Drosophila melanogaster: one gene and its partner. The protein of the gene in region 2 purifies or fractionates together with the protein of the main gene of each other region. This does not show direct contact. Each region holds a gene or a part of one and is shown on either strand. Other genes may lie near its edges. The genes, in order: alph and slpr.

Region 1 (14,099 bases), on a different chromosome or scaffold from region 2:
AACTTTTTCAGTGACTGTCTGATGTTAGTTCAGCAAAAAACAAAAAAAAACATAGAATCAGCTCCAATTAGTCGGCCAATTACGAATTGTTGGTACTATCACTTTTCAGATTGCGATTGTAGCCAGCAGCTGCCTCGTGCTTTTGTGACTGACATATGTATATATAGTATCTGTATAGTTGAGTGTCTGGCGAGATAAGGCGACCCAGTGCAATGTACCCGCCAGATTGTAGGGCATTGGGCGCAATAAATCTTGGCCTTTTCGGCCGTGGCCTCTGGGCCAGTTCGAATTCAAATGGCCATTGTTTTGGCCAAAGGGCCGACGACAAATTCGGCGGGAGACATTTTGGCCCGACTCCTGATAAAAATCGGCGGGCGCAAGCTGCGATCACTGATCTTTAGATCGACAATATTTATGGCTGATGTAGTAAGGGAGCCAGAAGAATGTCTTAGCTGGAAATTAGAGCAATTAGCTTTGAGCCGCGGATGTCACATGAAAACCCCAAGAATTCCGTATAAAAACGAGGCAAACTAATCAATTGGAATAGGAATAGTTCATGTGACCCCTAACCCTCGTAACCATTTCTCGTGCGGCTACTGTGGGTGTGCCTGTCTCGAGTCTCGGCTTGTAAACAGTTTCACTATCTGATGATTATGTAATTTATAGGGCTCCTGGGCCACCAGCTAGCTACCTGTGCCGATCCGTCGAGCAGATAGTGCCACATAAATAAGTGTGTCTGGCATAAATGTCAAAGGGCATTTAATGAAGTTATTAAACGCTGCGGCCCTAGAGACTACCGTTTCTCCCGAAGGGGGCGTACCGTTCTCTGCTCAGTTCAGTTCAGTTCAGCTCAGTTCTGTTCGGTTTCGGTTTTGGTGATCATAATCTCAGGACCGAGATCCCGATTCCGATCCCGATGCCGATCCCCGGGATCCCGAGTTTCCGACTGCTTTGCATGGCGACCAAAACTGGTTGGGCAATAAAACGCTTGCTATAACGAGCAACAAAATTTGTAACGATTCAATTTAAGGCTACATACAACATGAGCCGTACGCCGTCGGCAAAAGATGAAATAGTCGCAATAGTCGGCATAGGTACGAGTATATCCTAGCCCCCCCCCAAATGGTCCCCTCGCATCCCACCCCATTCTCGGTGGGTTTTTGGCGCATGTTGAGGAGTCGCAGTCCGACTTCAACTTGGACTCGGAGCGGCGGTTGAATTCAATGAAATTTATGAAGACATGACTGGCAATTGTAGTTGCAACGTTGCAACGTCGGCCTAAAACCAGCTCCGCTAAAGACCCAGAGTTCGACGATCCTTCAACGCCTACTTGGCCATTGCGATTACAACTCAATTGTCAATCGCAATTGATTTTCCAGCCAATATTTTACGATTAATTAAGCGCAAAATTTGAGAACAAAGTCGGGGTGTGTCGGCAGTCCAGACAAAAGAAATTGTAGGCGAATGCCTACAAGTACACGTTCTGCAGGTTGGGATAAGATGCGAACTGATTCCGTATACCTGCACCGCTACAGGTCACTCGGTGATTTCTTTTGCCTTTTGGGGTGTGGACAGAATGAAGTCAGAGGTCAGAGGATGGCTATGGAAAGCCACCATTGATAGATGTCCCGATATCGTCGAACATCTCCCGCCAACTGTGGGAAAACTGATGAAACGCAGTGGGACGACTGTCGTTAAATGCGGACATAAAAGAAATTAGCTGGATAGTTTCGGTTTCGGCACTGATATGATTCCAAATTCGGGTGGTCCGAGTCGGGTTTTGAAAAGAACTGTGTTCGAAATCATGAGATGCCAGCAAGTGCATTGCAATCCTATAACACTGATACAACCTTTGAAGTCACCTATCAATTTAACCTATTAATATAAATAATCTACAAATCGTATCCAACAAACTGATCACTTTTGTGTGTTTGTAAAGCATGAAAGCACACATTTTAATTTGGCATAATCATATTTCTTTTTGTTTAGTTTTTAGAATAAACCTTATCAGGTTTTAGGCGGTGGTATAATACCAATTTGCAGTGGTATCCTGCGGAACTGGAGCTCCAGCAAGGCATTTGTTGAGTTCTCCATAGTAGAGCGAGGTGCCCTCCACGAAATCCTTTTCGGAATAGTTCAAGCAGCTTTCCAACTGGCTGTCCAAAGTCTGCAAATGGATCTTGATCTGGACGGCGGCTTCGGTGGCATTCGCCGAGACTTGGTACATGATTTTTGATTGCTCAGCTCCCTACGAAAATTAAGCAGAATTAAAATTATATTTAACTACTGGAAACTATAGTTAGGTCGTATCGAAGCTGAAAGTTTCCTTGACTTTCTAGAACTTACGACGTTGGCGAAGCACTCGAAGGCGAGCACGAAGTCCACAATGGAGGAGCAGTCGAAGAAGGTGTTGCAGCCACGATCCCCGGAAGCCTGGATGCCGAAGAGAGTGCTGTTCCAGGCGGCGAGGACCAGTTCGCTGGCGGTGTCGTAGTCCTTAACGCACTTATTGTAGTCCAGTTCGTACTGGGCCGACAGCCCGTTGATGATGGGTATGTAGTAGTCGAAGCAGCGTACCGAAGTGCCAGGATCCCGAGCAGCCAGCTCTTCCGTTTGCTGCTGAAGGCCAAGGATCTTCTTGTTGGTGGGCAGCTTCAGCTTGGAAGGCTTTACCACGAGGCTAAGGCTGAGGCCAGAAACCAGGCCAAAAGCGAGAACCACGGCGAGCAGGGAGAATTTGGAAAACATGGCTAAAAGTCTCAGATTCCACTTCTTACTGAATACCTCGGTTGCAGAGCTCAGTGATTTTATACCCATTTCTCGAGCTTCTTATCTCTTTTGAAAGCAATTGCCTCTTGTTGGAGGAAATGTCGCATGTCGCTAATTTGTTGTTTCCGGTAATTGGTAAATATTTCTTAATTTAATCTCAAACAAAGTAAATTACATTTATCAGAAATCGTTTCCAATCGGTAGCAGTAACAAGGGTTCAATTTTTACTTCAAATTGAAAAAATGTTGTTCATGGACTTTTAAAAATATCTTTGCTTTTGGAGAAAAGTTCAATTTGTATCATAAACTGAAACCAGCGTAGACAATGTGCCGAAATATAAATTCAAATTTATCGTTTTTGAATTGCAAGCCAATTCAGTACCTAAAGTAACTAAAGAAGAGTTTATTTGTTATCAGATACCCGTTACTTAGCTGGATGGGCGTGGCAACGCCATGGAACAAACTTGTTCTGGAATCTGCGTTATGATTTCTATGATTTCTTATAGTAGAGATACGCTTATAAGGACAGACTGACAGACAGATGGGCGGACATGGTCAAATAGACTCGGTTAGGTGTTACATACTCTTCATGGAATCAAGTATGCCGCCTTACTCTACGACTAAGGGGTATAAAAACTGATGTATACGGATTAAAGCAGTTTTTGTTATAAGACGTGAAACTGTGAATTTTTTAGCATATTTTTTTAAATTTTTTTTTTTTAAATTAAATAATTCACCGACTGATGTTATGATTAAAATTAATATAGTTTTATTTTTCGTATGGCAGCTATTAACAATAGCTGATACAATAATCTTAGGTACTGTCATGCTTTCATAAATAAGTTGGTACCCTCTATATTTTATTCAATCCTGTCATCTATTAAACAACTAAGCTCCACAGTGAATAGCTTGCATTCCTATATTATTTATTTATATAAAACAGAGAATTCAATTGCCTGATATATTTATTGATTGACTTTCTTTTAACGAAGTAAAGGTGCTGCGGTTGTTATTGTTGTTGTTGTTGTTGTTGCTGTGGTTGTTGTAGGGTAAGTCAATGGATTACAAGTTGTGGTGGTTGGTCCGTTCTTGAGGCAGTTGTTCAAAAGCTCGTAGGTATCGGAGGTGTCTTCCACATAGGAGCGATTTGCGTCATTGATGCAAACACTCTTCCGGCTCTCTAGGATCGTATATTGCTCCTGGATCTGAACTGCAATCTGCGTGGCATTGGCCGAAATGGCATAGAAGGTCTTGGAGCTCTCGGCCGAGTTGGTGGAGGCGCATTCGAGGCGGGAGACCACGGTGTCCAGCGGCTGCTGCTCAAGAGTCCAGACCTGGCAATTGGAGTTGGGATACGAGCAGCCGATGTTGGCGGACCTGAGAAGGATCTGGCGATCCTCGGCATACTTCTCGCTGATATGGGATGTGCAATTGTCATAGGCCGAGATGCAAGCCGTAAAGTTAGTTTCGAACTGATCCGCAATTTTGGCCAATTTGGGCTTGTAGATCGAGAAGCACTGCGTGGAGTGATCTGAGTGGACTTCGGCCAGCTCCCTGCTCTGCAGCTGCAGCTCCTGGATGTGGGCGTCTGGTCTAAAGGGAATTTGCAGCTTCACAGCCAGCGAGAGGCCCAGGGAAAGGCAGAAGACCAAGATCTTGGCTTGCTTTGCGAACATCTTGGCCAGGTTAGTTGACGGTGGATGTGACACCCAGACGTATTTATACTCCCATTTATCATTATCTTTTTAATTACACATTAATGTTATATATTTTCAATTACTGATAATGATGGCTCTAAAGGTTTGATGGATGGCAATGTTAAACGAGAGTAGATAAGCTCATGTTTTACTGCCAAAAACCTTTAAGCTTTCTTGATACACTTTTGAAAAACACCTTCATATTGAGCTGATAATGAATAAGTCGTCCAATCCTTTAGCTAGTTTCAGAGGTATAGGATTTAATCGTTTAAACTTGATTAATATTCACTCAAAGTCTTTTATTTACAGCGATAAAAGTTCACGAATACAGGGTGCTCGAGGTGATCTGAATCTTGACTCGAGTCCTAGAGCACGTAGTTCGTGCTGGGAAACTCCCAGTTGGGATCACCCAGGCAGGCTACCATGTCGGCGTAGCACTCGCCGTGGTTGGTGTTGTAGGTCCGGTAGGCTTCGATTTGGCATCTGGATAGCGTTTCCGAGATTACGGACACCTCGGCGAGCAGGCTGGTTTGGTTGTCGGATGCGTTGTAGGAAGCTTTCTCCAGTTCCTTGGATGCCGAAGGACCCTGCGATTGGGTGGTGATATTATTAATGCTATTAAGCGCAAAAAGTTATACAAAATACGGCTTAAAACACTTTAAAATACTCATTAGAGTATGCGTGGAAGATCATAGATTAAGCCACCATTGTACGAATCACTCACCCCAGAGGCCAAGCACTCGAAGGCATCGGAGTTCGAGGTCCTGCCATTGCAGGTCAGGAGGGAAAGGCAGGTGTCCCTCACGGATACGGACAGCTCGTCGCGGGAACTGCGGTAGCTTGAGTCGATCAGGGAGAAGGCCCCGTCGTAATTGTCCTTGCACGCGGTGAAGTCCTCGTTGTACTTGTCCACGTGACCCTTAAGGAGCGGGCTGTAGTAGTCCACGCATTCGACGTTGAAGAGATCCGATCGCATGGCCGGAGAACTGAGCAGGAGCTCCACCAGCGAGGACTCCCTCTCGGTCTCGACGGGAGTGGGCACGGCAGCCACGAAGACGGCGCCGATAGCCAACAAAAGGGGGACGGCCTTGAACGACATATTCACTTTCGACACTTGGAGAACTGGACAACTGGAGTGTGGGGCCCAAAGACCCAGACTTGGCTTTTATACTGTAGTAATTCCAGCAACTAGATTACTAATATTTATGATCCACAAACTATCTGGGGTAGTTCCTGATGTAGACCCCGTTATCGTGACGCCTTGTGGAAGCTCTTCAAATAAAAGGTGTCAATGAAACCCCCAATATCAATTCAACAATATTCATTCCATCAAATAAACTAAATATATTTTACCCATTATAGGCAAAGAGCTACATATGTATATCTACTTTAGAAATTTAACACCATGGAAAATAATTTCGTGTTCTTGTTATACAATATATGTTTAGAGAAAGGTAGTAAATAAGAGACACTAGATTTCGCTGATATTTTTCTTTGAATAATTAATAGTTTTATTATTTAGCTCGTGTATACTAATAATGCATGGCTTATACACCAATTTTATATAAAACATATCAGGAATTCTGTTTATGGTAAATATAGATGCCTACGCAATTTTTATTTACGTCACCTCTAAAATAATTACATTTACTATCAGTTAAGAGGGTATTCACAAATTTTGTATTGCAATTTGTATTAATCACTTGCAGATTATAAAAGATAACACAATTCTAAGAATTCGTGCAGGAAGCACTTTTGGAGTATGGACACTCATAAATTAACGCATACTTAAACTGGCGGAAGCCACAAGAACTAAATGCAGTGGATTTGAACAACTAATTTTTTTGAGTGCACTGCCAGGACCTCGTTTAACACATCTGTTAACATCTGTTTCTACATAGAGTGATGGTGTCTCTTAACTGCATCGCACTTAACATCGCCAATAGGATGGTGTACTTGCTTAGGTGGGTTGCGTGTATTCGCTAGAAGAGTGCCTTCGGTTGCTATCGATAGCCAATAGCTCTTCGAATATCATCGATAAGTATCGCCCTCAGTACATCGATGCCCGATGCTTTTTTACATCACTAGTCACTTTGTTAATCAAAATATTAGAAAAAACTCCATTTCCGCCTCGAAAGTGCATTTCGGGATCGCGCAGAAGTGTTATTAAGTGCGCGACTCGTTCGTTGATCTTAAAAGCGCTAGTAGGCGATGAAAATCAAGTGGAAAACGATCGTTTTTTCTTCTTAAACTTTTACTTACGGCAGACACGCACACGCACGCAGCTCACCGACGCACTCGCACACACACAACCACTCGCACGCGGAGAGAAGAGCAGCAAGCGGAGGAAGAAGAAGCAGATCATCAAACTTAAAATTTGCGAGGTGAAAATAACGAGAGGCGAAGGTTTTCCCAGCACCGAAGATCATAAATCGCGAGTGCGTTTTCATTACCTCCCATTTTTTGGTGGCCATGCCGGATTTCCACCACCCCCCGCCCCTGCTGAAATCGGTGCTGCCAACTTGCTGGCCACTAAACAAATTTTTTTTTTGTGAATGGGATATGGATGCTGTTGCGCGCAATTTTCCCCACATTTTCCACAAAATGTATTTAACGCCCACTTTCGAGTGCTAAATTTAGTCGGCCAAGCGGAAGGACGAAGCCGCGTCCTTGATAAATCGATGTGTCAAAAGGAAATGCAAAAAAGCGCGGGACACAGAGGAAATAGCGGTGAAAAGCGTGGGCGGGCAGCTGCCGCGAGGTCTTCCGCCCCGCCCCCATTTGTGTTTGCGCTTTTTTCCATGTCCTTGCAGTCGGCTTACAGTTATTGTTCTGTGGCACAAGTGCAAAACTCAACAGGGGGAAGCCCCGCAAATGTACCCTGTACATATGTATGAGCATGTATATGTATATTAATTATGAAGCGCCAGCTGATTCCAGTTCGGAATTCACATGTTTTTGCCGGTTTATATATATGTAGTTAGTACCTTATATTTGGAGTCCTTCAGTCTCAACAGTTCAGGTTAAAACAGGTTAAAATAACACAAGTTATAGTAAAAGTATTCAAATCAATAGATAATACTTATTTTGGATTTTCTACCAGCATCCTACTGACGGTCAAGATGCGTTTACGACTCATACAGGTCGAGAATTAGAAAGAGTATAGCAAATAATTATTTCATGTTCAGCTGAAATCAAACTGCCATGAGTCAACTTAACTTCCGTAGAAATTTCTATGAAATGAAATGGTTTTACAAAAGCCGAGACTTGCACATCCGTTTGTGTCAGAAAAATCCAGATACCATTTACAGGAATATTCAGACACAGTATTCAGTTTATTATTTGTGTGTGGAAAACTATAAACTATCTATTTTGGCATGACCTTTGCTTAGTCATCCGCTGGTGAAAGTTCAAGTTCAAGGTCTTGCTGGTTGATATTGATTGGCAGTCGTTTAATGGTTGCATACCCTTGTGTCCTCGATCCGTAGATTCCTTGGCACCGGCTAGCCGTAAGAGGAGGAGAAATTGCACCCGCCCGGCACACAGCACACAGCATGTTCAGTGAACATGGGCGGATTCCTGGATAAGCCGAAAACCGCCAAGCACAATGACGAGGGTGAGGGCAACAAGCTGCTCTTCGGGGTCAGCTCGATGCAGGGATGGCGGTCGGAGATGGAGGACGCCTACTACGCTCGTGCCGGGCTGGGGGATGCCCTGCCGGACTGGAGCTTCTTTGCCGTGTTCGACGGGCATGCCGGATGCAAGGTGTCGGAGCACTGTGCCAAGCACCTTCTGGAGAGCATTATTAGCACCGAGGAATTCATTGGAGGCGACCACGTGAAGGGCATTCGCACCGGCTTCCTGCGCATCGACGAGGTTATGCGGGAACTGCCGGAATTCACCCGGGAGTCGGAGAAATGCGGCGGAACTACCGCCGTGTGCGCCTTTGTCGGCCTCACGCAAGTGTACATCGCCAATTGTGGTGATTCGAGGGCCGTCTTGTGCCGCCAGGGTGTTCCGGTGTTCGCCACGCAGGATCACAAACCCATTCTGCCGGAGGAGAAAGAGCGCATCTATAATGCGGGTGGCAGTGTTATGATAAAGCGCGTAAATGGTACCCTGGCAGTGTCGAGAGCCCTTGGGGATTACGACTTTAAGAACGTCAAGGAGAAGGGACAGTGCGAGCAGTTGGTATCGCCGGAACCGGAGATATTCTGTCAGAGCCGCCAGGATAGCGATGAGTTCCTGGTGCTCGCTTGCGATGGAATCTGGGATGTGATGTCCAACGAGGACGTGTGCAGCTTCATCCACTCGCGAATGCGGGTGACCAGTAACCTAGTGAGCATCGCCAACCAGGTCGTGGACACCTGCCTGCACAAGGTGAGTCTTGATTACCATGCATATCGTCAAAGTTTTCACATGCTGTTCATTTCTTGACTACAGGGTAGCCGCGACAACATGAGCATCATCATCATTGCCTTCCCCGGAGCTCCGAAGCCCACCGAGGAGGCGATAGAGGCTGAACATCGTCTGGAAAAGCAAATCGAGAAGATCACAAGAGGTTGTCTTAGTCGTCTACTCTGTTTATAACTAATCGTAAACTGTTGACCCATGGCGTAGTGGTCTCCTCCGTCTTCGCGTCTCTTTTGAACCGAAATACGTATATTTTGTACCTTGAGCGTCACGAGTACTTTATATGGGCTCCTCGATGGCCTACAGTCCCGACCCAAAGTGCTTCTAGAGCTGTATATGCCCCACTTTGTCCAAAACTAGAATCTTACAAAACAATTCCTTTCCGAAGTAGTTCCAAAACGAAAAACAATACCAAAACGAAAACCAAACCATTGCCATTACTAATGCCAAGAATGAACTCCTCGCACACCCACCTCAAGTACAGTGAAAGCTCTATTGGATGGATAATAATAGGCACTGATAATCTATATGTGTATTTCTAATACTTATTTGAAACCTTTCGAATTTACAAATTCATATCAACAGCAAAAAGGCTGAAGTCCGTTTTTTTTTTTTTACAAGAGTGCTATATAAATGTTGTATACTCTACATAATGTGGCTCATTTATGCTCATATTCTTAGTGCTTAGACATCACGTACATTTAGTTATATATTCCCTTAGAGAGCTTTCACCGATATTTGCCTGTATAAATATGTAAATGGGGTGTGTGTGGGCGTTCGACCAATATCCTATCACTAATGCATAGCAAATACCTGTATAGCGTGTTAGTTTGTCATATCTGGTGGCTGTGCGTGTGGCTGACCAGTGTTCGTCTGCCCCGTGTGTGAGCCTGAGTTATAGTATTATTTATACATGCCTGTGTGCACTACAGCCACTGCCAAAAGCGTTCCATGTATGCGAAATCCAGCCCATTTAGCTTTAGTCGTACATATACACCTAAATAATAACAATTATCGACGAACCTGCCCGAGCTAAGTAGTTAAATGACCCGTCAACCAATTTGTATATACATTTACTTGCATATACGTATACCCCATTTGATACTAGGCGCGATGTGAATCAATCAAACGAAATTGCAATACTTAACGTACGCAGGTATTGACACTCAAAACAAACACTTGGAATTGATGTATCTAAGTAGGAGTAGCGAATTAAATCTTAATTTCTAAGCAAAATCAAATAGGAGAGTATAATGTCTTCAGAGAAGATTAGTTGTAGATAGAAATGTAAATAAGCTGAATAGCTGACAAAAACTTTGAGAAGCAATGAAAACATATATTTTATTAACTAGCAACCGCTCAGATGAACTGTAGTCGTATTACTTGAATTACGTATTTAAAGCAATGAATAACCCTTGGTGGTGTTTATCCGAGACTTCAGTATTCGAGGCACCAAAGTGAAACTCGGCCAAAAACCCGCAGGCCGACCTTGTTGATATAGACAATTACTTTAGACCGAATTCGTACGATTTACAATTAGCCAGTTAGTGAATAGACTTAGAGCATGCATTGCCCACCACTGGTCACAGTAGCTAACCCATTTAGAAATTATTTAGGCTAAGCAATAAACCAATGTCCAGTGTCCAGACGAATTACTTAGCCTAGAGTAGAGTAGCCAAAGGAGTTGAAATGTTATAGAATGTATACGTAGGTTAACGAAACCGAATTGTAAACCTTATGCTCACCAACTGTTGTGCTTGTTGTTAACCGAAGGCAAACGATTACTCCACCCAAATCGATCAGACATATTCCATTCAATCTAAGCAACTTCCCCGAAATATTTGTACTTGGGTGCCCTGGTAAATTGGTGATCCAGTTAAAAGTGTAAAACACACACATCCCACACAGCCGAACATACACGACTTTTAGAGATTAATGAACTACCATTGATGATAGTCAAAAATATAACTTAACGAAAGATTTAAAAACCTAAGCCAAAGTGTTTGTCTGCTGTTCTATTGGAATCATTTCGGCTTTCATTTGCTTATTTCCATTTTCTCTATTCACACTTTTGTTTCTTTGCTTTATTTTTATTATGTTCATTTCGAAAGCTAAACATTCCTTAGCTCCACCTGATTTCGTGAGAGCAGGTTTCAACTAATGCCTAACGTTTATCTAAAGTAATTTGGCAAAAGGAAAATTTTAGCCATTCGCTGTTGTTGTTTTCCGGTTGTTGATCGCGCCTCGTACTACAATTCCCAATTTCCAATACACTATTGCCACCAAATCAGAGCGCGAATTAGCCGAATGGGCCAATTGTCAATGCAAGAACAAGAAACAGAAAGCAATTCAAATTTAAGATGAGTGAGCATAAGGTACGTCTATACTTTTGTAGTTTGTAACTTTTCGAAGCCACTTTGTCATTACGTTATCGTTTATCTTATCGGTTAAATGGTTTGATTTTGTTTTGCCTACACCCACCCAGACCCGCCTCCAATAATTTCTTATCTGTGTGTTAATTGTAAAAAGTGATCCACACAATCCAGCAGATAATCGAGAATGCATGTATCCCATAGCCACAATGGAAAATTGAATTGAACAAAAACCGTTCTATGCAATCCTTTTGCTAAGAAATCCTGTATTTGAAGTTTTCAGTTTGCTATGATCAGATCAATTGGATTGTCTTAAATGTACCTAAGGCTTTTTTGCATTTTATTTCACAAAAAAATTTTGCTGATACCATCAATGCGAGATTGCCAAGACTTCAAAACATGTTAATGACTGCGCTTTTCTATAGCAATCAAGTAAATTCCCTTGTTTCCAATCGCTTGAGAGGCCAACACATACCCGTTTTTTGATATTTTGTATGACAGCATTCGTATCTATATATTGCATTTACTTAAAGTAGCTTAACTGTGTAATTCATATTTCTTTATGGACCATTTATGTACATAAATATTTATTTATAAACGCCATTCGAGCTAACGCAGTGTTTGCTAAACCGCACATTACTAATGATCGACTTCTCTCTGATTTTGTTGCAGACGAGATAGAGTCTAGCAAGATAACCGACTACGTGGATCTGCTGAAGTGTCTGCAGAACAGAGACGACATCGAAGGTCTTCCACCCGGAGGAGGTCTACAGTCCAAGTGAGTGTTTCATGCCCGTAAATAGCGTCCGGCGATTGCTAATCAGTGGTGTTTTTTTGTTTACCTTTGCAGATATCACGTTATCGAGCGCACATTCAAGCAAGAGTTTCCGGATCGACCATGTGAAGTACGAAATCTGTTCTATAATCTGTAACTCAGTTCGCTGCGCTTTCGCCAATGCTAACACATATATTTTATCGCTTGCATAGCACCGTTTTTGGCCATTATAGCCGTAGCCTTTGAAATTGCCTTGTTTTTTTCTGATTCAATCAGTAGATCGACACCAGAGGATTTGGTAATGATAGAGCTATCACAGCAGTTCATTCGATCGTCACCATTCACCATTGTTCCATGTTTAGTTGGGTTCCCCTCTCGGCCCTTAATCGTAACCTCTAATCATGGCTGCCTATTCTCTTTCTTTTTTTCTAGCTGTATGCATATGATGATATATGAATTTTGTAATGCTAATTGTTCATTTTTAAACCAACCAACCAACCAACCAACAACCAACCAGCAAGAGAACAAAGATAACTAAACACCCTATGCTTCACATACTCTAAATGTAAGCAGATAATTCATTATGTTGCTCGTCTAGCCCCAACATCATCATCATCGACCCCCTTCCATTCTGTTTCGCTATGTTTTGTTTCCTTTGTTGCAAGACTTGGAAGGACCGCATGTCTGTCACTGCATGTCTCATCCATATCAACCCACTTTCGTTTCCGCTTCCGCCGCAAGTGTGCATCCTGCCTGAAAATGTCCTAACCCATCGGCTGCCCATCACGGTCAATAATCCAGATATTTGTTATTCTTGCAGAGTCCAACGCATTAGGTTGCAGTCGAAACACGAAACAGAACCAGTTAAACAAATGCAGAAACCAGATCAGATCAGAACCGAACAGAACAGAAAGCAGAGCCACACAACTTGAACGAAGCAAAAACATACAAGAACACACACCAAACAGTTTTCTACTTTGATAAACACAAAAGAAAAACCTACTAATAATGATAATAATAAGAGTAACGATACATTTATAGTTTGTACGAAGCAGTCCTAAACACAACAATACGAACAGCCACGCCCACACAACTTTAAGATATAGGAGAGATCTAGAACAGAGCGTACCTGAGCAGACCTCAGAGACTCGGAATCGGACGAAATCAAAGGATGGCTAAAAGCCAGCACCAGGACCACACCGAACAGATTACTCCGATCGGATCCCTCTGAAGGACCCATCCATCTATGTGAACGTTGTAAACCCTCTGTGTGTCCTTTCGTTCCGTCACTTCTCCTCATCAATCAGCTATCAGCAGTAGGAAAAGCGCCAGGAAAAACTAATGGAAAATGTGGTATCAAATGTTATTGAGAACGGAGGACAGTTAAGAAACCGCGAGAGTCTCGCTCAAATTTTTTGTGTAAAAGAACTTTATATTTTCATTAAAACAAAAACCATGTATTAACTATTGATTCCGAACCGAAAGCGGACCTTTGTAAGTTGTAAAACGTTTGTTATCTAAAACACCTTTTGTTCACCTTCTTTATATGTGTACGAGAAGATGTGTCGCCAAGCCAGAAGCAGCGAAACTTAATAATGTAAAGTAAAAAAATGTTAAAAGAAAACCAGAAAAAAAAATGGTAAAAGGAAACCAAACTAGCAAACAAAACCTGTAACTATCTATGTACGGAAACGAAAAAGTAATACCTAAACCTTAAGTAAGAGAAGCAAAACAAAAGAAATCCACAATAATGTCCGATCTTAAAGAAACGAGAATGAAAACTAAGAACTATTAATTTATAAGAAACGAGTTGATGAAGAAAATCTTAAGAGAGAAAAGCAAAATTACGCTCGAGTTTGTAGTAAATGTTGATAAAAAAAAAACACACACACACTCCGAAGCTTTTAATCAGTCAATGGAACCATCGTTCAGCTGCACAGTGTACCAGTCGTATCATCTCCAGAACCGACAGCTGTTATCCTTGGAGGCGGTCAGGATGGCGTCTCCTGCGTAGCTGTAGGCGCAGCTGAACACCTCACCCTCATGACCAGCCAGCACTTGGGAGCACTGTCCG
Region 2 (16,771 bases):
TTTTTTTTTGGGCAGATATTTGTGGCTATATTGCTTGGTTTTGTGGTTCAATCGGTTCCTATTTTTGGTTAACTTCGGCTTTGTGTGTGAGCATAAACAACAATTTGTCTAAATTATAGTTATTAATTTATGCGCATATGCATATGAGGAGGCCTCTATTGCCTGCCACCAGCTCCAAGAAAATGTAGCCCAGAGTTTCGGGGTTTTGGTCGCGTGGCAAACGAGTCGAGTAACGAAATCTTCAATTTGATTCAGCTCCTCGAAAGTCGAAGGTAGCTATTTTGTGCATCCTGCGTTCGGGATGTTCTGGAAATATCTTAAGATATATGTATATACACGGTATTATCTCAATTGGTAAACTTGAGGAATATCTCGAGATATTTCCAATAGAAAAAAAAAAACCACTTTGCAAACAAACATGATTATATAATAAGTATCTGTGTACGTGGCATACATACATACATATATGCAAAGGTAGTTCAAATTCATTGCCATTATATCAATATCATAGCTATTCAGTATTTGGAAAAAACAGCAGCAATATGCTTCTTTATGTATATGCATGTATATACTCGTATATATCCATTATATGTAATTGTAAATCGATCGAGTTAAACTGGTATTCAATTCAGAGCTAGTGATTTTGTGGGTTAACGCGTCTATATCGGTCTATATCTAGTTGTCTATAACTATATATATATATATATATATGAATATATAAACATTTTTTTCAGACTTAAAAATGGAGCTTACGGCTGGCGTGTGTCTTGATCGGGATGCGGTGTCCTCGGAATTAATTGTTTGTTATCTATTATTGTTGTTGATGATGGCTTGCTAGCTAGCTGGCTGCACTTAATCTGAATCAAAAATCGGAGAACGCAAGTGGAGGCCTTCGTCACTATACATAGGTATACCTAGGTGTATAATACATAAATGGGAGTATATATCAGCCATATCCGTGCCATCCGTTGATGGGGCGGCTAATCTTATACGAGGGATTTGGGATTCGTTTGGATGTGTGATATACATATATTTGGTTTTGGAATCCGTCATTAGGCAAAACTAGTGAAGTCTTCACTCTACTTTTAAGGCAAATCGCACAAGTCGGGGGCTGCACAAGTCTATGGGTCTATGGGTGTGTATGTCTGAATCCTCGGGCACATTTTTCGATCGGGAGTATCTTTGTGTGAATCTCCTGAAGATTTCCTTCCCTGCCTATAGGTTGGCTAACATTAACATCGAAGTTGATATATGTACTTGGGTGTAAACAACTTGGGTAGCTACTTTTATGTACAGACAGTGGGTATCAAATTCTGCAAGAACCTATAGTATCTGGAATCTTAGCCACAAGGATATTTCGTAGTATTCCCCATCTCAACTACTGTCATCCGTTTGATATAGATATATATATATGTATGTATCTAGTTCTTCCTGAAAACCATTTGATTTATCTGCGCTTTGATATTGCATTTCTCTTCCAATTGCTTTCTGTGAACTTGAGTTATCGCCTCCCAGATCTTCCAGCTGCTATGGCTAACCCTCTCTTTTTCGCTTGCCTGGATGTGCCTGTCCTGCTCTTTCACAAGCGGTACTCATAGTGCGCCGATCGAGATCGCCGAGCTCCCGAGTACCAGCGATATGGTACTCGCTGCTGATGCAGCGCCAAGTCAGCGGCTCCTCCGCCGGTCCCAATGTCCGCGCCCGGACTCCGCGCCAACTGCAAGGTTAGCGCCAGACGCGACTGCTAGGAGGATGAGGCCGATGGCGACGGAGTGCTGCCACTGGACGCCTGTCGCTGGCGTCTCTGCTGTTGTTGTTGTTGCTGCTGCTGCTGTTGGTGTGGCAGCTGCATCGCCGGTGCCGTCATCCGACGTCCCAAGGCGGGCAGCGGATTGGCATCCAGATAGGCCTCCGGACTGAAACGCACCCGACTGTGCTGGGAGCCAATGGAACCCTCTTTGGCACTCAAGTAGGAGCTGTCATCGCTGGTCAACGAGTCCGGCGGCGTGGGATTAGTGGGTGTGCCCTGCTGCGAGGATGTTGACCCATTGCCACCATTCCCACTATTGTACTTCTTTAGCGAGCTGCGCAGCTTTGACTGGCCGGCCAGTGGTGGTGGTAGTGCAGCAACCACCGAACCCGCTCCGGATTGTTGATAGCCCAGCGAGAGCGCATGCTGCTCGAAGGGCAGACTGGCTGGTCGCGTCACCGCCGCCGTGGCATATTTGCTCTTGGTCATCGGCAACGGACTGTGGATGAGGCGGTTCAGTAGCTTGGGTGATCCTGCATACAGTTCCTGCTTTGTCGGCGGCGGCACCTGGTCAAGCTCTCGTTCCCGCTCGCATTCCCTCTCGTACTCCGCATTCAGATTGAGATTGTTGTAGTCATAGCACAGCAGCTCTTCGTGCTCCAGCAGTACATTCGAATTGTTCGAAACGGTTGAGGGAGTGCGTCGGTGTCCGGCCGCACTTACGCCCATCTGTGGCACCCGCGGTGGTGGTGTACGGGTCTGGCTCACCGGACAGGGAACGGTCACGGGCAGCGGCACCACTGGTGGCGCCTCATACTGGTAGTCATAGTAGTCCGGCAGGCGATGGTTATAGTCGTAGGAATAGTCCGGATACGATTTACAGTCACGCTCGTAGCTGTAGTTCAACTCCGGCCGGTATGGAAAGTAATTGGAACCTATCAACGGGCAATTAGTATATTTTAAATTGGAGGATTCTCCTCGAATGTCTAATGGCTTGCCCACTCACCGAAGTAACCATTTCGGTAGTTTCCCCCATCGTTGGAGTAACTGGGTCCGTTTCTCAGGTAATCGGCTGGCGCATAAAGTGGCGGTGGACCAATGCCACCGCCCACACGAAACTCCTCGAAGACATCCGCTTGAGGATTGGCATTGCCAAAGCTGCTGTTGCTCAGCTTACGCCGTGGCGATGGCGTCGGTGGCTGGGTTCCGGCATACAGTGCACTCACCACGGCTGGCGGCTGTGATGGCGCTACTGTTGTCACCACGGCCGATGGAACTGGCTGTGGCTGGTGAGGATGATGATGATGGTGCTGCTGCTGTTGCTGTTGCTGCTGGTGGTGATGGTGCAACTGATGCTGTGGTGTCCGCTGCACAGGTGTGTAGTACGGCTGACTGCCTCCGATGCGCCGGGCCAGAGATGTGGGCTGCGATTTGCTGACCGGAGCTTCAATGCCACCAAATCTGGGGGGCAGGAATAGAGTATATAGTGTATAAAGAATTCGCGCTCTTTCGGATTCATTTAGCACTTACCTTGCTTGTGTGACTATCTTACGTGGCGTGCTTTCCCTGAGCTCCTGCTGCTTCAGTGGCACATTTACTTCCAGTTCCAGGATCTGTTCCGGCAGTGAATCCTCCACCACCTCTTCCGTTCCGGTAATCGCTGCCTTTGGTGCCGCCTTCAGAGCTGGCACTTCGCTGAGCAAAGTCGGATGCACTGGCGACACGTTCGACATGCGAACATCATATCCGGCCGCCACTCCGGCCAGCAGGGATGCCATGTTGTACAGCAACAGTTCGATCACGGAAAGCTTCGGCTTGCGCGCCGAATCGCCGGCATAGAGTGTCGGCAGTGGCACGTTGCTGGTGAAGCGGCTGAGGAGATATGGCGATGGCGACATAATCGGCATGTTGGTGGCACCCGGACGCCAGTTATCCATCTTGCTATTGCCCTGGTAGCCTGGTCGGTCCGATCGGCAGCATTCCAAGGCGGATATGAGACATGATTGAGTTACGGCATATGGTTGGTACTGGCTTGGGGGAACGATGGCTGGGATATGGTCGGTAGTCGGGTGGTAATCGGATAGTCGGAGGCGGGGGGTACAAGAGTAGTTGGATAGTAACCGCAGGCAACACCAAAGTTTAACCACCGCATACCAAGGAGACTCTGTTCGTCCTATATTAATAGGTTAATCTCTCTCTCTCTCTCTCTGTCCAAAATTGTGGATTGTGCTCATGCACAGAGAAAATCCATTCTTCATTCAGTCATTTTCACGTTAAATTGACATTAAAAGATAGCTTCACTTTAAATAAGTTTAAGTAATTTAAATGTTAGTTTGGATCATTGGACTTTCTCTGTGCTTTTTAGCTGCGAGGCAATCAAAACTGGTCGGCAGATTGTCTTAAGTTGGTTTTATTGTCGGATTTCTGTTTCTGGGTATTGGTTCTTCTTTTTTTTTTGTTTGTTTTTTTTTTTGGGGTTGGCTTGGCCCCAACATGGAAAATACAATAATATACAAAGTACATTGAAATAGAATCGAGCACTAAACGTAGAATGAACAAATCGTAAAATGAAGTATAAATATACAATTGAAAGTTTTCATAAAAATAATACAAAAAAATGATCATTTCCTTTTCGTTTCATCATCGTTTTTTGATCACAGGTTTTTTTTTCTTTCTTTCTTTTGCGCGATTATTCTTGTGCTTTTTTTTTTTTTTTTTTGTAGAAATAAATCATAAATAAATAAAATGGAAAACCCGATTGCATAATAAATGTATGTAAATAAAACTGTGCTCAAAATACCAAAAAAGTCGAATATCAAATTAAAATTAATGTGCACCGCAACTTTTCGTTAAGTGTACTTAAGCCAAACGAAATGCCGCAAGCGATGGAAATTTTGGAAAATATCTCTTACAAAGATTGAGGGGGTGAAAAAAAAGGAGGAAGGACTCCAAAAAAATGTTCGAGTTCCTACAAAACTAGAACTTAGTTCAACTAAGATGTGTGTAATGTGTAATGTGTAAGGACGCACTTACGCATCGGTATAAATATAGCTTAATGTTAATCCAATTGTTACACATTTATGTATATGGTTTAGTTCAATATATTTTGCCATTGGCCCATGCACACGTTTTTTCTCTCCGTGTCTGTTTGTCTACGTACAAGCGGCGTTAGTCTATCTATCCGTTTGATCCTCAAAAGTTCGTCCTCACTTCTGTGCTACACATTGCAATTTTCTAGCCACTCCTCTGGCACAAAAAAAAAAACAAAACAAATCACTGGACTAATTAGGGATTAACTTGATTTGTGAATTTCGCACAACATATTGCATTCGTTAGGAACAATTCGGTTATTATGAAATGCCAACCGCGGACAGAGGGGTTTTTTGTTTAGTTCTATGATTTCGTTAGACGGAAAGAATTCGGATAGGTATCTGTATCTCTGGGCCCTACTAATTTCACACATTAGCTATGGCTAATCCTCGCCTGCTGTTTCATCTCTTCGCTCTTCCTTTGCGTCTGACTTAGTCTACAGTTTTAATATAAAACAATGAGCTAATTAGGCGGTTCTCATCTGGCGGCCAACTCCAACAGCAACACTGCAGCACGGCGCACAACTGGGACTTTAGCATCGCTCCAGTTGCTCGCAGGATTGCGTCTGCGGCTTTTTGCCTTTGCGCTTCAAAGAGCGACTGCTGCCCCCCATCGCCAAATCGGTTTGATAGGGATCAATGGCACAGAACTCGGGTCCACCGACCATGTTGTGCTCCGCCAGCTTGCTGTACTTCTTTCGCGAGCGCGTAAAGAGATTGAAAAGGGCACGGATTTTGCTCGATCCAGCCGAGTGATGCTGGTGCTGGGGATCATTGTGGTCATCATGTTCATGGTGCTGTCCCTCGACTGGCGCCTCAACAGACTTGGATTTGGTTATGTGCTTGGGCCGTTGCTTCTTTTGGTTCTTGGTCTGCTGGCGCTGTTCCTGGGCCCGCAGCTTAATGACATCGGGATGCGGCTGAACATCTTGCATCCGACGCGTATTCAGTATGGAGTTCTCCTGCATGTGATAGCCGTTCACGGCTTCCGTAGAAGCAATGGACGGTGAGGCGGACGCAGTGGTGGACGATGAGGACAGCGATGGCGAGGCGGAGCGGTAGGTGGCGAAGCTAATTGAGGCACTGGATGTATATAGATCCGATCTGGCAGTCGTTCGCGGCGTGGCCACAAAATCGGGCTCTTCGAAACTGACGCTCTGGAAGGTCACTGAACTCTTGCGCGACGTGGTGGAGTTCTGGCGCATCTGACTGGCGGGCACTTGACACTCATCGTCGGCATCCGCATCTGCTGTGTCCACCTCCGCCGCCACCGCGTCCTCATCCTCTGCTTCCCCTTCCTCCTCCTGCCTGGTGAAGAAGCAGTGCCGTGGAAACTGCGAGCCGGAAAAGTTACGCTGAAAGCGTCCACCCTCGAAGGCCTCCTCCGCATCATCGCAATCCCTGGCAGTCAGCGGTGTGCTGGAGTTGTACATGGTCAGGTCGCCACTGGATTTGGAGTTTACCCTTTCGCTGCTGGCCATGGACATCTTTTTGATCACATCCCGATAGAAGGCATGGTCATACGTATTGTTATCCTCCGATGGCAGAGTTAACTGGTTGGGCAGTGCAAAGCTATTGCTACCGTTCGCAGGCGGATGATGACTGCTGCTGTCCAGCGAATGCTTCTTTCTGCCCACAGCTGGACTGTTGCCCAGACTGCCGCCAAAGCGATGCAGATGCACGGCACCACTGGCCGCCGATGAATTGCCGGACTTCAGGAAGTGAAAGCAACCGGTCGGACTGGCAACGGTGTCCGTTTCCGAGCTGTCATCCGTTACCAAATAGAGTGGTGGTGGCTGATAAGCAAGCGGATGATCAAGTCCGTACTCCTGGCTCCTGGCGCGATGGTAGATCTTGGCTGGGGATTGACTGGTGGTGCTGCTGTTGGAGTTGTTCCGGCCGTTTTGGAGGACAATTATCGTGTTCGGTTGGGAGGTCAGGTTAGTTTGATTGTTATTGTTATTGCTATTAATAGTACTAATATTATTTAGCTGATTGTTGTTGTTGGCGGAGATGCTGTTGTTGTTGTTGTTGTTGTTGTTGGTGGTTGTGGTGGTGGTAGTTGTGATGGTGGTGGTGATGGCTTTACAATTGCCAATGTTGTTGTTGTTGGGGCGCGTTAGTATAATGGGTATACCTGGGTACAACAATGGTGTGGCCGGCGTCCCACCAGCGCCTCCACTTCCACCCAAAATTCCCAAACCCGGCGGCGGTGTCAGCGAGGCCACCTGTTGCTGGTTCTGCTGCTGCTGCTTCTTGTCCAGATTCGGAGCACTCTTGCTGAATGAGGAGTGAGTTGAGGTCTGGGCGGGCCATTCCGGCTGACCGCCGCTCAGTTGCGAAGGCAATAGGGATCGCTCCCGCTGGTGCATCGTCGACGGGCCCCACGTCTTGCCCTTGTGCCCATCGGTCACTGATTCACCCCAATGTCATCAAAATAATACGGAACATAAGAACATAACGAAGAAACCAAAGGCAAATCAATAAAATATACAAAAATTAATTCAAAAATAATGATAACAAAAATATGCAAATAATCTAGTTCAATTTGTCCAACGATACGAGGTGGTATCTTACATTCCCATGGCCATGACGTCTAGTCTCCTGTTCTAATTTTGGGTCTACTTAATGCCTAATCTTATCTCAAAGACCTGCATAATGCACTGAATTCTCATCAGAGACATACGTACATAGAGTTAAGTCTAACAAATATACCATAAAACCATGATTGAAAAGTATAATTCATCATAGGACTGTACTATATATAATACCCTCAAATTAATCAGATCTCTGGGATAGACAAAGTACTCACGTGCCACGATGCGCAATCCGGAGAAGGAAGGTGATCCCGGCTGTTCCGCCTTGTCGCGTACAGCCGTAATCGTGTGCCGGAAGCCCGTGGGCAGCGATATCTGCAGTGGTTTGTTCTAAAAGATAGATATAAGATATGTTATGCAAGATTTTTTTTTGGCTAATTTGACTCACATACCTTTTTGCCCTTTTTGTGTTTGCGTTTCGATGGCACCGGCTGCAACATGACAAGCTCCCGTTCGATCAACACTCTTTCACGCTCGCGCAGATTCTGCTCCCGGATCTTCAGGAGATTCGCCTTTTCGCGCTGCTCGTTTTGCACCCTGAGCAGCTGCTCTTCCTTGTTGCGCAGTTCCTGTCGGGATTAAAAGGGATAACATGGTGGAACGTGGCGGGTTAGTGTGGGCTAAGCATGATCACTGTACACGGGGACATGTGCTAGAAAATAGCATTAACTAGGAACTAGAAACCATGCAGCTGTTGGCTTGTGTGCGGCTCTATCGTGGGAGTTATCCAGCCAATAATAAAAAAAAAACAGGATAACTTTGGGTAAAATAGAATAGAGTAAAGTAATGTAGAATAGAGTAAAGTAATGTAACGAAACGAAACGAAACAACAGAACGAAACGCAACGCAACGCAATTGAAACGCAAACGGCGGGCAAGAGAAACCTGTTGGACGCGCTTACCTCTTCGATGGTTTGGAAACGCTTAACGTCGTTGGATGTTTTATTGTAAAACAAGGGAATTTTGTATTGTTTTGTTTTGGAGAGAGAGTATATACCAAATTATTAGAATTTCATCAACAACGACCAAGTGGGAGAAAGAGGGGAACGACTATGGAAGAACTGAAGGGCGCGGCGTAAGGCCAACAAGGAACGGTCTAGAAACGATCTAGAGCAACTCAAACAGGTAGGGGGAGTTTATATTTTCAGTTTGCCTGGCGTTTTCCAGACAGTTGGTACCTTTTCTTTTTCGCGCAAATCGTGTAGCACTCCAGCGATCTCCTTTCGCCAGCATTCCTGCATGTAGTGAAACGACTCCTGGGGCGTTAGGGTGAATTTGGAGCATGCGATGCTCTCCAGCTGTTTGAGAATCTCCTTGAAGCCCGGTCGCTTGTGCGGATCCGTTTGCCAGCAGCCTGCGGGATTTGGACATAATGAAATATTACAATAATATGTATAGGATCATTGTCTATTGCGTTCACTTACTCTTCATCAGGGCTCCCCACGTCTCGGGGCAGGTTTTTGGTATGGGCAATGTCAGCGTGTTAACAGCCACGCCATAGGCCACGGACAACGGATCGAAGCCCTTGTAGGGCGTCTCGCCCGTTATCAGTTCCCACAGCAAGACACCGTAGCTCCAAACATCGGAGAATCTGGCGGGTAAGGAGTTTTGTTAGTTAGGAAGACAGACGACAGAGTGTGAGAGAAATGGAGCTCACTTGGAATAGGTGCTAACGCTGATGACCTCCGGTGGCATCCAAGCGTACGTGCCCGCCGCACTCATCCTCTGCGTGTTGTACATCTCCCTGGCCAAACCGAAATCCGTGATCTTGAGCGTCTTCTGCTGCAGATGATTGCCCTCGATGGCCTCGTAGATCAGCACATTGGAGGACTTGAGGTCGCGATGTATGATCGACATGGGCGCCTCATTGTGCAGATAGTTCATGCCTCTGGCTATCTGAATGGCCCAGTTGACTAGTACATCGGGTGGTATCTTGCCAGCCAGTATGCGATTGAGACTTCCTCCCCTGGCATACTCCATCACCAGACAGAGTTTGGTATTCAGACATACTCCTCGCAGGGCTGCTATATTTTCGTGCTTGAGGGCCCAAAACAGTTTGGCCTCCTGCAGGACATTGTCCCGCATCCTCTGCATATCATCCTCGCCCGTTTGATGGGCAATCTTAATAGCCACCTCCTCGCCATCGTAGTAGCCACGATGGACCTTGCAGAAGCCACCGGAGCCGATAACTTCCTTGATGTCCAGCTCATTGTATTCGATCTCATGCGGCTGGATGTCGCCAATGGCGGACGAGACATTCAGTTGCAGTGGGTCCTCATCGGTGACAAAGTCCTTGGGAAAGACACCGACCTGCAGGAGAAAGATTGGGGTTTAGTTCAATGGTTCATTGTTAGAAAGGTAATCAATCACCTTATCTCCAATCTTGCCGGTCCACCAGCCCACATCGCCAGACACCTCGCTGTCCGTGGACAGGACCACAACGATTTCGCCGCGTCGCAGTGTCAGCTCATCCTCGCCCTGGGCATCGTAGTCATACAGCGCGGTCCACAGGCTGCCATCGCCCACCTGGGTCTCGACTTGCTCTAGATCTGGTATGGGAATCTCTGGTATCTGCGGATGATGCAGTTGCTCTAACTGCTGCTGCTGCTGCTGCTGTTGCAGCTGCTGCTCCTCGCTGATCGGCAGCATGTTGGTGGTGTCCAATCCTCGGGAGACCTGCGAGGGCATCAGAGGCGCACAGTTGGCGACATGGAAACCATGAATCTCTTCTTTGTTTTTGTTTTCTGCTTCTTTTCCTTTTTTGTTGTTTTCTCTTTGCTTCCTTCGCTTTTTAACTTGCTTTTGTTTCGCTGTGTGTGAAAGAGAGATAAAACCGCAAAAGGGGCGAAGAAGAAGCAGCAGCTTAGTAATATTTGTTGCCAAAGGGGGTGGGGTGGGGTCAGCTTACGGGTAAGGATGTTGCGGCTAATCCTGCTCTCCTGCCCACCGGATTCGGATTCTCCACTCTCCTTGTGTCCCACTGTCCGTCCGTCTGTCCGTCCGTTGACCACACGCACAAGAGCAAAAACAATAGCAACAGCGAGAACAACAATCACAACAACAACGGCACACAATCAGACAACACGGTACAAAACACACACACACGCACACGCGCTGCTGCACACCATGGTCGCTCTCTCGCAGTCGCAGTCGCCGTTAACGTCGTCGGTTATTTTGATCTATCCTTGATCCTGTGCAATCGGTTATATCCGTTTTATTAGCCCGTTTCTGCATATGTTTTTTAAACACATATGTATTAAAAAAAAAAAACTAGAGTTGCACTGTTCAAATGTGAACTAGTTTAATTGAACTGGTCTTTGGACCCAGCCGAGTGAACTGGTTACATTTGCGGTTCACCTGGGATTTTGGTTCCAGTTCGTTGGCATAATTTTAACTAAAATTGTGATCAAGGTAGTTGTTTAAATACCTTTATATTGGTAATTGTTAATATTTGTGGTAGAACAAGGTTTTGTCGATCATTTTGTTGTGGCTCACATAAACCAGTTGCTGCATTTATACTAGTTCCATTCGCAAATGTACTAAAAAATGCCATCAAAACGGTGTTGGGCAACGCAAAATATTTGGTATTTCAAAATACCTTATTCAGTATTTTCAATATTGGTATTTATCATGTCGATTATTTTATTGACCGTTAATATTCAAATTTGAAATGTGCTTGAAATGTAAAAATTTTAGTATTTAAATCCTATTAACATACATGCAAAACTCAAAAGCATTGTTGATGTGTAAATTTAAATTAACTGAATTTAAAGTACCGTAAACCAGAACGATTGCATTAATTGAACTTCTTCAGTTTTTAACAACTTAACAACTTAATATTTAATCGAATAAATAATTGAACTTAGTCGTTATCAATGCAAACTGAAAATTATGCTACCATCAATGGGGCTATTGTAACACTTGCATTCATTTAAAACTATTAAAGATTGAATATATCGAATGTCATGCACTTCGATTAAATCACATAATGTGAAATAATTATTTAAAATCACGTTTCAAATGGAATGTCGCTGTCATATGTTTTCCGTTTTGATATTCGGCTATTTCGTGATGCGCATGATTTTTGCAGAGAAGTCGGGGAAATCCATGGAAAAGGGGGGCTTACAGCTGCTGCTGCTGCTGCTGCTGCTTTGGCCGCTTTGGCTGTTTGGCCTGTTTTGCCGATGCGGATATGGCCTGATGATGTTGCTGTTGCATCGCGGAACGGAACGCTGTGTATACTGTGTATCCTCACTACCAACACCACCAACCCCCCACCCACGCCACTGACTCTCTCGTCGGGCGCCCAACACGCGCCCTTGTGTGGGTGGTGGGTGGTGTGTATTGGGTCGGTGGTGGGTGTTAGTGGCTTGTGGATGCTGGGTGGCCTAGTCCATGCCATGTGTTTAGTAAGTCCCCTCCCTCTGCTACGCTCCCTTGAAAAGTTCGGCGGCGCTCGTGTCCTTTCGGCTGCGACGCTGCGCCGTTCATCCTTTTGGTCCAGCGTCGGCATCGCACAGTGGAATGGAATGCTAATCAATCGCTCAAAAACCATAAAAATATGACATTTTAAAGAGTTAAGCCGATAATTTAAAACAATAATTAACTAATTGGTTGTAATTTAGTGTATTTTATGCATCTCAACATCTTTATACACATGTTTATGATATTTCAAGGTTTTATTGCTAAAAAATGTACAAGCAGCGAGTGCTAGAAACATAGCGTAGATAATTTTCTTCACATTTATGTTGCACAAATATTGTAATATTATTAACCAATTTTGAACATCTAATTATGGTCCGATTGGGCCCACTGTGCTTCGGCAACAGAGCGACTCGTGCCGAGCCGATGGAAACCGAAACGAAACCGGGCTGCTGGCTGATGTGGCGCTACATCCGCAACTCCCGTAGTCGTAGTGACAGCCTTTGCCGGATCCGGAGCCAGGAGCAGAGCGGCGCAGGACACTACGGCCCAGGACCAGGACCTGTACCGCTGGGCAAACGCCACTCGCTTCGCCCGGAGAGGAGAGCAGTCTCGGCAGTGGTCGGCGAGGCTGTGTGCCAGCATCACCAGCAGCAGCAGCGGCAGCGGCAGCGGCAGCAGCAGAAGTGGCAGCAGCAACGGCGGCAGCACCAGGCTGTGCCACTCAGTTACGCGCAACATTTCAACGCAACGTCGTGGCAATTCCAAATCGGCGGCAGACGCGGGCGTGCGCAGCGCACGGGCGGATTGCACGTAATAAATCCTCCGGAACGGGCTAAAAATACGGCAAACGCAACTAATCACACACAATAGAAACCGAAAAGAGAGCTAACTCTTCGCTAAGAAAATCGTAAATTTTGCGTAGCGTCTTGCATGCGCCATCTTGCACGAAATCCCACGAATAATGTAGCAGAAACCGGAAACCGGACTGAAAATATACATAAATAATAAACTTTACGCACCAACTAATTTGAACACAAAATATAACCAAAAAATACAAAAAATTGCTCATATTTTTTTTCCGCCGCGTGCGCGTTTTTCAGTGTGTGTGTGTGTGTGTGCGTATGCGTGCGTGTGTGTGCGTGCGTATGTGTGGGTGTGATTTCGCGCGCGTGTGTGTGTCGCTATTTTCTTGTTGTTTTTTTTTTGGGTAACTTTTTTTTGCCGTTCTTTAATCCCTGGCTGAAATGAAATACAACAAAATAATGATCGAAATGCGAGAAGCCAAGGCGAAAATGTAAAACGGGCAATGATGCAAACGCACATGAGTAAAAAAGAGTAAATAAAAAATTAAAAGAAAAAATATATATATACATATATTTATAGAAATTATCAAGTTAATTTTAAGGAAAACGAAACGCACAACAAAAAAGCCAAAATAGATCCAGTAATAAAACTAATTTAAAATAATCACCTAAGTCAACAAACTGCAGTTTCAGCAGCGCAAAACCGAGGTAAACTATTGGTTAATTAAAACGATTAAACATATGCTATTAACTTTAGGGCAGGGAAAACATTGTTAAGCATTAAGGAACAAATAACTGATAGAAGCAAAACCAAAACAGAAAAATAGAAGATATCAGCGAAAATCGTTCGCTTGCAGGCTGTTATCACTATGAAAATGTAAAACTGTTAGTCTAAAATTAGTTTGGCTCAAATCTCGCTGACTGACAGCTTACTTAATCTATTATTTAATTTCTTTACCGTCTCTCAATAGTTTCCTTGACACTATTTTCGCTTTTGCCAAAAGAAAAATCGGGGGAAAATCGGATGGCTGCCTTCACTCACACAAACCCACACAGACACACATTTTTACACAAAGGCAAACACATACATACACGCACACATATAGACATAAATCCATGTAAAGCTGTTGCCTCTGCCGCTGGTAGCCGCGACGCCGACTGCGACGCCGGCAGCGTGGTAAGCAGCGCGCAAGAAGTTGAGGTTATGTCTGCGCCGCAAAATGTGCTTGTGCTTGGGATCCAAAAAAACGCTGCGAAAGTGGCGAAAAACCGGGTGGATGGCCATCGGGTGGTTGGTGGCAAGTGGGCGTCGTTTGGTAATGGTAATGGGGTGCTACGAGCCATGCCCTTGGCATGGAAACGCTGTCGCCCCTTTTTTTTCGATGGGCGTGACTGCAGCATCCAAAGGATATTCGGCATCGCCTTTGTCCTTGTCCATGCAAAGCATTCATTGTACTATACTTTGCACACTCGAAAATGCGGATGCTTTACATATTTACCATTGCTGGCAAACTGTTTTAGTGGCTAAAGTCGCGAAAATCACTCGAAATTAGCTGTCAAGCGTTTAAAACTTGAAAGAGAGCTGTCCATAAGTATGCTATGATTTTTCTTGTGGCCTGATATCAGTGCCATTTGTTAGTCTTACACTTGCTTTTGTTTGGTTTCAAGAAAACATAGTTCTTTTTCAAGGTGTACACATATTATTTTTCATATTTAACTCATTATTTAAAAAAAAAAAACCTTGACTTTTAGGCAGCCCCTTGAGCACTTAAAACACTTAAGACTATTTAAATTAATGACATTTTTCTCTGTGCATTTATTTTTTCTTTTTTGTGTTGCATGAGTGGTAACACGATGTGGATGACCTAGCCCTATTTTTGGCCATTTCAGAGTCAACTGCCAGCGCTGCTGCTGCGCTGCGGCTGCGCGGCGACTGCGCTGCTGGCAGAGCTTCTTTCCTTTTTTTCTGTTGATTTTTCCTCGCTCCGCGGAAGAGACAGAACTTTATTCCAGACAAACTCAAGAGATAGAGAGAGAGAGAGAGTAAATGAACAATCGAGCAAACAAAAGAGCAGCCAGCGTGTTAAATTTAAGCTAAAAACATTAACTAGATTTAACTTTATGTCAGAGATCTAAGAAGTAGTATTTCCATTCCATTTCCATTCCTTTCAGAACACCAAGTCTTACTAAGGAACTATTCGACTAAGAGCGTTAACCAAATCAAGCTGTTGTATTTAGCTGCAATCCAAAGACGTAATGCTTTCGATCTGATGACATTCGACTACGGGCGCCATGAGCATCAGTGCCACCTGGTTTTGGGTGCCATCTCTGTCTCCACTTCCGAATACGAATCCGAATCCGAATCCGAGTCCACATCCACATCAGAATCTGATCTCCTTCTCCGCCACCCATTGTCAGGCGCAGCCAACAGGTGAGACTTTGATGCCAATTGGAGTTCGTCTTGGAGCTTAGACAGCTGAACTCGTGGAGCAACAGGAAGAGCAACCGGATAAGGGGGAACAGGAGCCCCCGCTGAAGTGGCGCCTCTGCCTTGCGCGATGCAAGCGAACAGCAGCCGCTCCAACTTAAGCGCACAATCCTCGGGCACGCCGTCGGCCTCAACGATCTCCTCGTCCCAGGGCAAGGTGGGTTCAATCGAATTAACTATACTCTTACCATAAGTATTCATTTTAAAGAATCAAAAGAAGCCTGCAGAAATTCAAAAATGCCCCAAGACTGAAGTTCTGAAGTCCATAACTCAACTTATATCGATCGCATTTCAAAGTGGCATACCTCAAAATGTTTGTGGTTGAATTCTCTAAAAATCTGCATTCAAAATTGGAAATTTATTTTTTCAAAATTTTTTTGTCATTTTTATGATGTCGGAAATTCGAAAAACTTGAAAAATGCCCCAAGACTGAAGTTCTGAAGTCCATAACTCAACTTTTATCGATCGCATTTCAAAGTGGCATACCTCAAAATGATTGTGATTGAATTCTCTAAAAATCTGCATTCAAAATTGGAAATTTATTTTTTCAAAATTTTTTTGTCATTTTTATGATGTCGGAAATTCGAAAAAGTTGAAAAATGCCCCAAGACTGAAGTTCTGAAGTCCATAACTCAACTTTTATCGATCGCATTTCAAAGTGGCATACCTCAAAATGATTGTGATTGAATTCTCTAAAAATCTGCATTCAAAATTGGAAATTTATTTTTTCAAAATTTTTTTGTCATTTTTATGATGTCGGAAATTCGAAAAAAATCAAAAATGCCCCAAGACTGAAGTTCTGAAGTCCATAACTCAACTTATATCGATCGCATTTCAAAGTGGCATACCTCAAAATGTTTGTGGTTGAATTCTCTAAAAATCTGCATTCAAAATTGGAAATTTATTTTTTCAAAATTTTTTTGTCATTTTTATGATGTCGGAAATTCGAAAAACTTGAAAAATGCCCCAAGACTGAAGTTCTGAAGTCCATAACTCAACTTATATCGATCGCATTTCAAAGTGGCATACCTCAAAATGTTTGTGATTGAATTCTCTAAAAATCTGCGTTCAAATTTGGAAATTTATTTTTTCAAAATTTTTTTGTCATTTTTATGATGTCGGAAATTCGAAAAAATCAAAAATGCCCCAAGACTGAAGTTCTGAAGTCCATAACTCAACTTATATCGATCGCATTTCAAAGTGGCATACCTCAAAATGTTTGTGATTGAATTCTCTAAAAATCTGCGTTCAAATTTGGAAATTTATTTTTTCAAAATTTTTTTGTCATTTTTATGATGTCGGAAATTCGAAAAAGTTGAAAAATGCCCCAAGACTGAAGTTCTGAAGTCCATAACTCAACTTATATCGATCGCATTTCAAAGTGGCATACCTCAAAATGTTTGTGATTGAATTCTCTAAAAATCTGCGTTCAAATTTGGAAATTTATTTTTTCAAAATTTTTTTGTCATTTTTATGATGTCGGAAATTCGAAAAAATCAAAAATGCCCCAAGACTGAAGTTCTGAAGTCCATAACTCAACTTATATCGATCGCATTTCAAAGTGGCATACCTCAAAATGTTTGTGATTGAATTCTCTAAAAATCTGCGTTCAAATTTGGA

The links.
Region 1: the proteins of slpr (region 2) and alph purify together in Drosophila melanogaster (affinity purification with western blotting, with the first as the bait; one study listed by BioGRID). This does not show direct contact.

What each region holds. Positions count from the first base shown.
Region 1 is NT_033777.3:29,585,319-29,599,417, forward strand, and holds the start of alph (alphabet), read left to right. Parts: upstream 1-6,512; 5' UTR 6,513-6,849; intron 6,850-7,775; exon of another isoform or gene 7,776-7,953; 5' UTR 7,954-8,032; coding exon 8,033-8,845; intron 8,846-8,908; coding exon 8,909-9,026; intron 9,027-11,169; coding exon of another isoform or gene 11,170-11,237; exon of another isoform or gene 11,238-11,253; intron 11,254-11,922; coding exon 11,923-12,028; intron 12,029-12,100; coding exon 12,101-12,155; intron 12,156-12,457; coding exon of another isoform or gene 12,458-12,481; exon of another isoform or gene 12,482-12,590; intron 12,591-12,845; coding exon of another isoform or gene 12,846-12,860; exon of another isoform or gene 12,861-13,933; coding exon of another isoform or gene 13,934-14,099. Other genes in the region: CG7567 (uncharacterized protein), read right to left, coding at 2,015-2,248, 2,347-2,748; CG11470 (uncharacterized protein), read right to left, coding at 3,752-4,444; CG31041 (uncharacterized protein), read right to left, coding at 4,831-5,052, 5,190-5,564; CG7568 (uncharacterized protein), read right to left, coding at 13,979-14,099.
Region 2 is NC_004354.4:8,166,210-8,182,980, forward strand, and holds slpr (slipper), read right to left. Parts: upstream 10,977-16,771; 5' UTR 10,344-10,976; intron 10,246-10,343; 5' UTR 10,085-10,245; coding exon 9,806-10,084; intron 9,746-9,805; coding exon 9,093-9,745; intron 9,027-9,092; coding exon 8,860-9,026; intron 8,790-8,859; coding exon 8,614-8,789; intron 8,359-8,613; coding exon 8,338-8,358; intron 8,006-8,337; coding exon 7,829-8,005; intron 7,767-7,828; coding exon 7,652-7,766; intron 7,253-7,651; coding exon 5,373-7,252; 3' UTR 4,470-5,372; downstream 1-4,469. Other genes in the region: CG2278 (uncharacterized protein), read right to left, coding at 1,745-2,685, 2,757-3,211, 3,281-3,687; sdt (stardust), read left to right, coding at 15,222-15,308. UniProt on the Drosophila melanogaster protein: Activates the JUN N-terminal pathway during dorsal closure.